Linked DNA regions of Tribolium castaneum. The protein of the gene in region 2 purifies or fractionates together with the protein of the main gene of each other region. This does not show direct contact. Links are inferred from orthologs where the notes say so. Each region holds a gene or a part of one and is shown on either strand. Other genes may lie near its edges.

What was found. The genes of interacting proteins can lie anywhere in the genome.
Region 1: the proteins of scu (region 2) and rswl purify together in Homo sapiens (co-immunoprecipitation; 3 studies listed by BioGRID and IntAct, counting the BioPlex papers as one, with this or other methods). This does not show direct contact. The link is inferred for Tribolium castaneum from reciprocal best matches to the Homo sapiens genes HSD17B10 and TRMT10C.

What each region holds. Positions count from the first base shown.
Region 1 is NC_087395.1:23,608,983-23,612,313, reverse strand, and holds rswl (mitochondrial ribonuclease P protein 1 homolog), read right to left. Parts: upstream 2,022-3,331; 5' UTR 1,858-2,021; coding exon 1,522-1,857; intron 1,476-1,521; coding exon 1,187-1,475; intron 1,140-1,186; coding exon 577-1,139; 3' UTR 560-576; downstream 1-559. Other genes in the region: pea (ATP-dependent RNA helicase DHX8), read left to right, coding at 313-535; odorant receptor 94a, read left to right, coding at 3,275-3,331. UniProt on the Homo sapiens protein: Mitochondrial tRNA N(1)-methyltransferase involved in mitochondrial tRNA maturation. Component of mitochondrial ribonuclease P, a complex composed of TRMT10C/MRPP1, HSD17B10/MRPP2 and PRORP/MRPP3, which cleaves tRNA molecules in their 5'-ends.
Region 2 is NC_087394.1:34,712,651-34,716,220, reverse strand, and holds scu (3-hydroxyacyl-CoA dehydrogenase type-2), read left to right. Parts: upstream 1-1,204; 5' UTR 1,205-1,337; coding exon 1,338-1,346; intron 1,347-1,431; coding exon of another isoform or gene 1,432-1,558; exon of another isoform or gene 1,559-1,619; intron 1,620-2,078; coding exon 2,079-2,246; intron 2,247-2,295; coding exon 2,296-2,460; intron 2,461-2,515; coding exon 2,516-2,753; intron 2,754-2,797; coding exon 2,798-2,988; 3' UTR 2,989-3,028; downstream 3,029-3,570. Other genes in the region: proline-rich protein PRCC, read right to left, coding at 110-1,140, 1,432-1,558; uncharacterized protein GEFmeso, read right to left, coding at 3,307-3,570. UniProt on the Homo sapiens protein: Mitochondrial dehydrogenase involved in pathways of fatty acid, branched-chain amino acid and steroid metabolism. Acts as (S)-3-hydroxyacyl-CoA dehydrogenase in mitochondrial fatty acid beta-oxidation, a major degradation pathway of fatty acids.

The sequences.
Region 1 (3,331 bases), on a different chromosome or scaffold from region 2:
TTAAAGAGATTATTTATTTGGGGTTGTTTTTCTCAAAAATAATGGAGATAATTAAGTTTCTTCTTGAAAAAAGTATGCAACTGCTTGAAAAAAGCAAAAAGAAATTCATTTTTGACAGTTTCATTACTGAAACAATTAAATAACACCTTTTTTGAAATTATTTTAGTTATTTTTGATAAAAGCTCGCGTTTAGGGCTGTAAAAACCTAATAAAACTTTTGAAGAGGCTAAAAGGACATTACTTTCGGCTTAGTTTCGCGAAAAACCGAGTGGTTTTATTTTTTATAATTTTTTGTCTATGTGCGTTTTCAAGGGTGATCTACCACGAACTGGTGCAGACCACGAAGGAATACATGCGCGAAGTGACCACAATCGACCCAAAATGGCTCGTGGAGTTCGCCCCCGCTTTCTTCAAATTCTCAGATCCGACAAAACTGAGCAAATTTAAGAAAAACCAACGTTTGGAGCCACTTTACAACAAATACGAGGAACCGAACGCTTGGCGAATATCGCGAGTTAGGAGGCGGCGTAATTAGGCATAGTTAGGTGTAAATAAAAAATTAATAATCTACTGTGTTTAATTTTCATCATACATGATACTCCTAACTTCTACTCTCCTATCCTTCCTGGATAAATCCAGTTTCTTGCCTGGCTTCCAGAACCTGCTTTTGAAGGATTTCTGTTCTTTTTGGTCGGTCATTTGGATGATTTTCCGTCTGGGGACGTGCCTCAGAGCGTATTCCCAGTCGCCGGTGTGCTTAACGTCCAACAAAATTGCCACACATTGATTTAAAGTGAGGCTTTTGCCCGAACCGGAGCCCCATTGGAGGTAGCGGTCAAGGGGCAGTTTGGCCATTCTCAGCCCCTCACGCTTGGCCTTGGCCAGGGATAAGGGCTGAGTGTTGACCTTGTCGACAATTGCGCCGATAATGTAGATGGCGTCATGGTCATACTTCACCAGTTCTTCCCGGCAATGAGGGGTTAAATAAACCAACTGTTCCCTCGGGAATTTTTCCAAATAACTGGTTTCGTGCACGTTGAGGGGGAACCAAGGTTCGTGCAACGTTGCAATATTACTCTGAAGAGTTTCGTGGAGGATGGTGTCAGGGGCGAGGCTACAATAATGCAAATCGAAGGGATCTGAAATTTTGAATAAAATTTTCGGCGGATTTTTGCAGTTTTTCTACCATCATGGGCCCGATTTTCGGCAAATAATAAAGTCAGTTGTTTGGCACAGTTTTTATTTTCCCTGACTGTCATATCCTGGTCATAGCCACAATCCACCACCAGTTTTTGCCCAAATTGCATCGCTTGAACCAACCGGTTATTGTACAACTGATTGATTGTGTTATCGTAAACCCGCAGAAAAATATTATTGTGGGCCAAATCGTACGTCGAGACGAACTCTTCAAGCGTTTCGTTTTCCTTCTTTTCGGGCTTGTCCCCGCGTTGCTGCTTTTTCTCTTCTTTTTTGATCTAAATAAAACGTAATGCACTTCCGGGATTAGAAAAAAATTATTACCAGTCTGTTTTCCTTCTTTTTTGAGATTTTAAATAGATATTCTAACAAGCGCTTGCGGGCCGAATAAGTCGGCAATTCGAGCAGTTCTTTCCAATGCTTGTCTTTGAGGAACTCATCGTCAGGAACCAATTTACCCTCCTGTCTCATGACATCAACTTCCAGAATTAAAACTTTCAACTTATGTTCCAGTTCTTTGTCCCCATTTGTGAGTGCCTCAATATTGGGACCTTGAGCCGCCTCGGCACAAAAAAACGATCTGGGGGGCCGATAAGGGGGCACACGCACGAAATTACCTAACCTCACTAATTTCGCCGACTGTCTAACCGCACTAAACATGTTGTAATTTTCTTAATAAATTTAAACCGAAACTTATGCACGTGTTTTTTACATTAAAAATTGTTTCAAGTTTTGAAATTACGACTTAAACCTAACCCCTATTTTCGGTTTGGTACCAACCGTACGACGCAAAATCACCATTAACAGTTGGTTATTGGACTTATTTATTAAATTATTCGTTTGCAAATGAATAATAAACCTGAGCCAGTCTGTAATTTATGCTCCTTTTATGATAATAAAACAAATTACAACGTGATAAACACAGTCCATTTCACCAGTGGCGTAGCACAGGGCCGGGTTAGGGGTCACGTCAAAATTCAAAATTCGTCATGTCACATCTTCATTCCACCAGTAAGGAGCCCCTCAATAAAGGCATTACGACCAGAGTCATGGCCTCGAAGCAAAAAGACGTAATTTTGGTGCCCACACTTTTGAAAATTTCAATTGGGAATTTTTAGTCTGGGGCTCAAAAATCGCCCCGTGGGTCCATAACCGAGCGCCGAAACTCGCGGTTTTTGTCCGGCGCGTCAATCCCCAACTCTACTATACGATCCAGTTTGGAAAACCCCGGCAAAATTGAATTACCCGCCCAAAAAATCCCCTCCTCAACTAACACTTCTGTTACGTCAGCTGGTAAAACCCCCGAGGCTGAGGCGAACGATACAAGCGAGAATGAAAAGCGGGGGATGGAACGGATGAGGCAAAAAATTCGCAATGCCCAAACCGTTGTAATTATCTCATTATAATGTGTTGATTTTTTTCAAAAACTGTTACAGGAACTTCCTGTTGTCAGTAAAGAGCGTCGCAGGTCTTCAACCGTCAAAGATTTTGATTTTTCTATTCCTGTACGTGCCTTTAACCAGCGAGTTTTTGCGCAATTTTGTGATTCCAGCAAAAGCAAATGCGTCGCTCGACTCTCGAATCAATCAAAAATGCAATAGATGAGTCCCCAAGTCACGTCACAAAGCTCGTAAACGCTGACAGTATTGAGAAAAGTAATGTTGGGCAAACTTTCAAAGTTCTGGATGATCCAGTCTTAGTTCTCAAACCTAAAAACAACGACCAAATCCAGAAAAAAGATCTCCAGACGCAGACCAGCTTCGTGCTTGAGAAACTCATCGTCCAGAAGCAATAACTTTAACCCTAATTGATAACTTCTTGACAAAACAAGGATTTTAAAGAAAAACGTGGACTTTTAGCTCAAAATCATATTGGAATAACATTATTTTGGCTTGAGTTTGAATTTTTTTGGTCAAAAACCCAGAAAAAACCCCACCTTAGTCCTTGAAGAACTCCAGAAGCAATAATTTCGCTTGAAATATTAAAGTGTGAAATTACAAGGCGCGACGCCTCAATTATTCACACCCCGGTCATCGTTGATATAAAAGCCGTAAAAGGGGGCCAAAAAATAGTAAAAATGATGTCAGACGAGTACGTCAAAGACGTGTTTATAGCAAATCGGTGGATGTTGCGT
Region 2 (3,570 bases):
GTCGATGTTTAATTTTTTCTTTAGCCTGATGAGTGGTGGTTAACAGACAAAACGTTGCATAACAAGTTCTCCACCAGTTATTTTTTTAATTAATATATTATACACACTTTTAAAAACCGTATTTGGCCCGTGTTTGATTTCGCGCATATTTACTAGCAGACCATTGACTTTGGAACTCCTGTTCGTTCAATTTCGCCTGTTCTGCCAGATAAGTAATGTGGTGTTTCTTCTTCCTTGTGGGGTCCACCGGTTCCTCAACCACCGGTTTAGGGGCGCTATCTGGATCGGTTAATGACTTAGTCATCCAGATTTCCTTGTCGGGCAAAATCTCCTCCTCATTAATGTCCACAAGCTTGATATTAACCGGCCGTTTGGCCTTTCCTACCAGCTCTTTAAACGCCGCATTATCCAAACCATCGTACGGTTTCACCGGCTCAGGTGCGATGTTTATCACCGGAGGCGCAACTTCCTCCACGTTAACGACTGGAGGCGGCTTGGGTTTAGTGTTTCGTCCACAGACCTTCTGCCACATTTCGTCGTCGAACGTCTCAGGGACTTCAATATCGTCGTCGCTTTCGGCATCACTGCTTGAACCTTTTGTTATTTTCTTAATTGCGGCTTTTTTGGCCATTTCTGCCTTTTTCTTAACTGCGTGTGGCACTAAACTGTTGGCTTTCGATTTTTGGGTGACCGGAGGTTTGTTTTTTAGGACATTTGGTACGAAACTTTTAGTTGAGAGTGGGGAACCTTTAACTGGGGGCAGCATGGATAACAAGCCACTGCTTTTCGAAACGGTTTTCGTTTTCTTGCGCTGTGGTTCCTCCTCTTCTTCCTCTTCGAACTCTGATAGTTTCGGAATGGTTATTTTCACTTTTTGAGTTTTCTTATTTTCTTTGGGAGGGGGTTCATATTTCGGGATAAAATCTTCCAGTTTATCCTCCGTCACGTTAACTGTGGGTGTTGTGGTTTTAGTCTGAGGAAGGTGTGACAATATTTCTGGTAGTTCCGTTGTGTCTTCATTTGCTTCACTGTTATTAACTTTTGTGCTATTGATTATAACTTCCGAAGAAGTTGAGGGTTCTTCTTGTTCTTCTTCTTCACTGCCACTTTCATAGTCATACGAGACCAAAGCCATGGTTTCTGCAAAAATCGATGTGATAACAAGAAATAAACAATTACAAAACTGATAAGGCAATTACAGCAATAACATGGCTGTTTTTTGGTTAGCTTTATGACAACGCTGAATAATAATCCGACCTTTGTTCCTCGTTTTTCAAACAATTACAAGGCAAAAGCATAAAATATTTGTCGAGTGAGTTATTTTGAAACTGAGCAGCATGTTGAAGGTAAGTTTATCTCAATAATTGCAATAATTGATTGATATCTGTGATGTAAAAACGTGTAACTCAGTAACATATTTTTTCTACTTACCCCAATGTTTAAATTGTAGAGTAGAAATAGCGTAAAAAGAATTGATATTCTTAAAAGTAAGACAAATTAATGAACTGGTTTCGACGTCTAGACGTGACTTTTGAGGTTGTGTAATTTGTTGTTTCATCACAATCTTTTTCTTTAATAAAAAAACTAAAAACTGTGTGTAATTAACTTAGAGAATCATTGCAATAATTATGTACAAGGATAATTGTTAATAGTTCATATTTAAATTGAATTTCAGAATAAAAAGTATGTATGCAGGCAATTTGCACCACGGTGCTGTATAATGTGTTGCAGCACTCTTCAAAAATAAACTCAAAAATCAAAATTTTTGATTTAGCAGAGGTATAAAAATAAATTTTTCGTAAAGAACGTATGCAAGTGGACACAAATCTTTCAAAAGCTGTTTGATTTTGTCCTGTTTAGCTACATTTAACTTAATTTTCAAGTAAGTAATTGGTAAAAGAAAAGGGATAAAAATTGTTATGTAGTGTCCGGCTTTTTTTACAATAACTCTGGTTTAGAATCGAGTATCACTTTTCTAGTCTTCAAATTGTTCGGGCATTTTACTGCACAAAAAATGTCTGGATGTAATCTCTGTTGAGTTACTAGAGATGGCGAATTAAAGAAGTTTTTTTTTATAGAACGCGGTGACTTTGGTGACTGGAGGCGCCTCCGGGCTGGGAAAAGCAACAGTCGAAAGACTCGTCCAACAAGGAAGTCGTGTCATTCTCTGCGACTTGCAGTCTTCAAAGGGCCAAGAAGTTGCAAAAACGCTTGGCGAAGACAAAGTTTTATTCGCTCCTGTTAACGTAAACACTAAACACACATCCCAATACTTGAAACTTATTATTCATTTAGGTAACTTCCGAAAGCGACGTCCAATCAGCCTTAGATTTAGCCAAGCAAAAGTTCGGCAAGCTTGACAATGTCGTGAACTGTGCCGGAATTGGCGTTGCCTTCAAAACGTACAATTTCAACAAAAAAGCTGCACACAGTTTGGAGGATTTTGCCAAAGTTATAAATGTAATAACACGTAAATTATATTCCCAAGTACCGAAACATTTTTTTTTATTTGTAGATAAACACAATTGGCACATTTAACGTAATTAGATTAGCTGTGGGCCTGATTGGCGAAAATCAGCCAAATGAAAGGGGGGAACGTGGAGTGGTGATTAACACGGCAAGTGTGGCCGCCTATGAGGGACAAATGGGACAAGCGGCTTATTCGGCAAGTAAGGGGGCCATCGTGGGAATGACTTTGCCCATAGCTCGGGACTTGGCAAGTCAGGCAATAAGAGTCGTGACCATAGCCCCTGGTAATTAATTTTCGTTCTTACTATTTTTTAACATTCACTTGCAGGCCTATTTAGGACACCCCTATTTTCGGCATTGCCTGACAAGGTTGTAAAGTTTCTGGAAAAGTCTGTACCTTTTCCGTCTCGATTGGGCGATCCAGCAGAATTTGCCCATTTGGTGCAATGTATCATCGAAAATCCCATGTTAAATGGCGAGACCATTAGACTGGACGGTGCTCTGCGAATGCAGCCGTAACTTTTGTAATGAAACGAGGAATAAAGATTGAAAATATTTATTGATACTTTTACAAAATTAGTGCTACCTTTAACAAATAATTTAAAAGGTCCTGAAAATAAGGACCCATTTGGCACGTTTAATTTACTATGGTAAATACGTAGTTTAAAATGCTTACATTTTTAACCGTAGCGTTAAAACTGTACAATAATTTCCTTTGTTTTGCTTTGTATTTAAAAATAAATATTTTATCAACTATCATAAACACTCTTCAAACGAACAAGGATAAAACTAGAACAGCCACATATAGCACATGGGAAAGTTTGATTATGAATTGTGTCATTCGAATCGTCCAACCATTGCCTTCACCCAACTCTTCTCACTGACGTTCACATTTCTCGTCTCGTGACTTAAGTCAGCTTTAGTTTTGCTTTGCTCTATGTAAAGTTTCTGGATGTTGGTTGTACCCGACTTTATTGTCTCCGTTGACATGATTACGTTTGAAATGTTCTTTGTACTGATAACCAATCTGCTCGGTTTGACGGGAATGGGCGGTGGAGCTTTGCTGGGCCTTTTGATTGCACTTTTGCCATTGCCATTCAC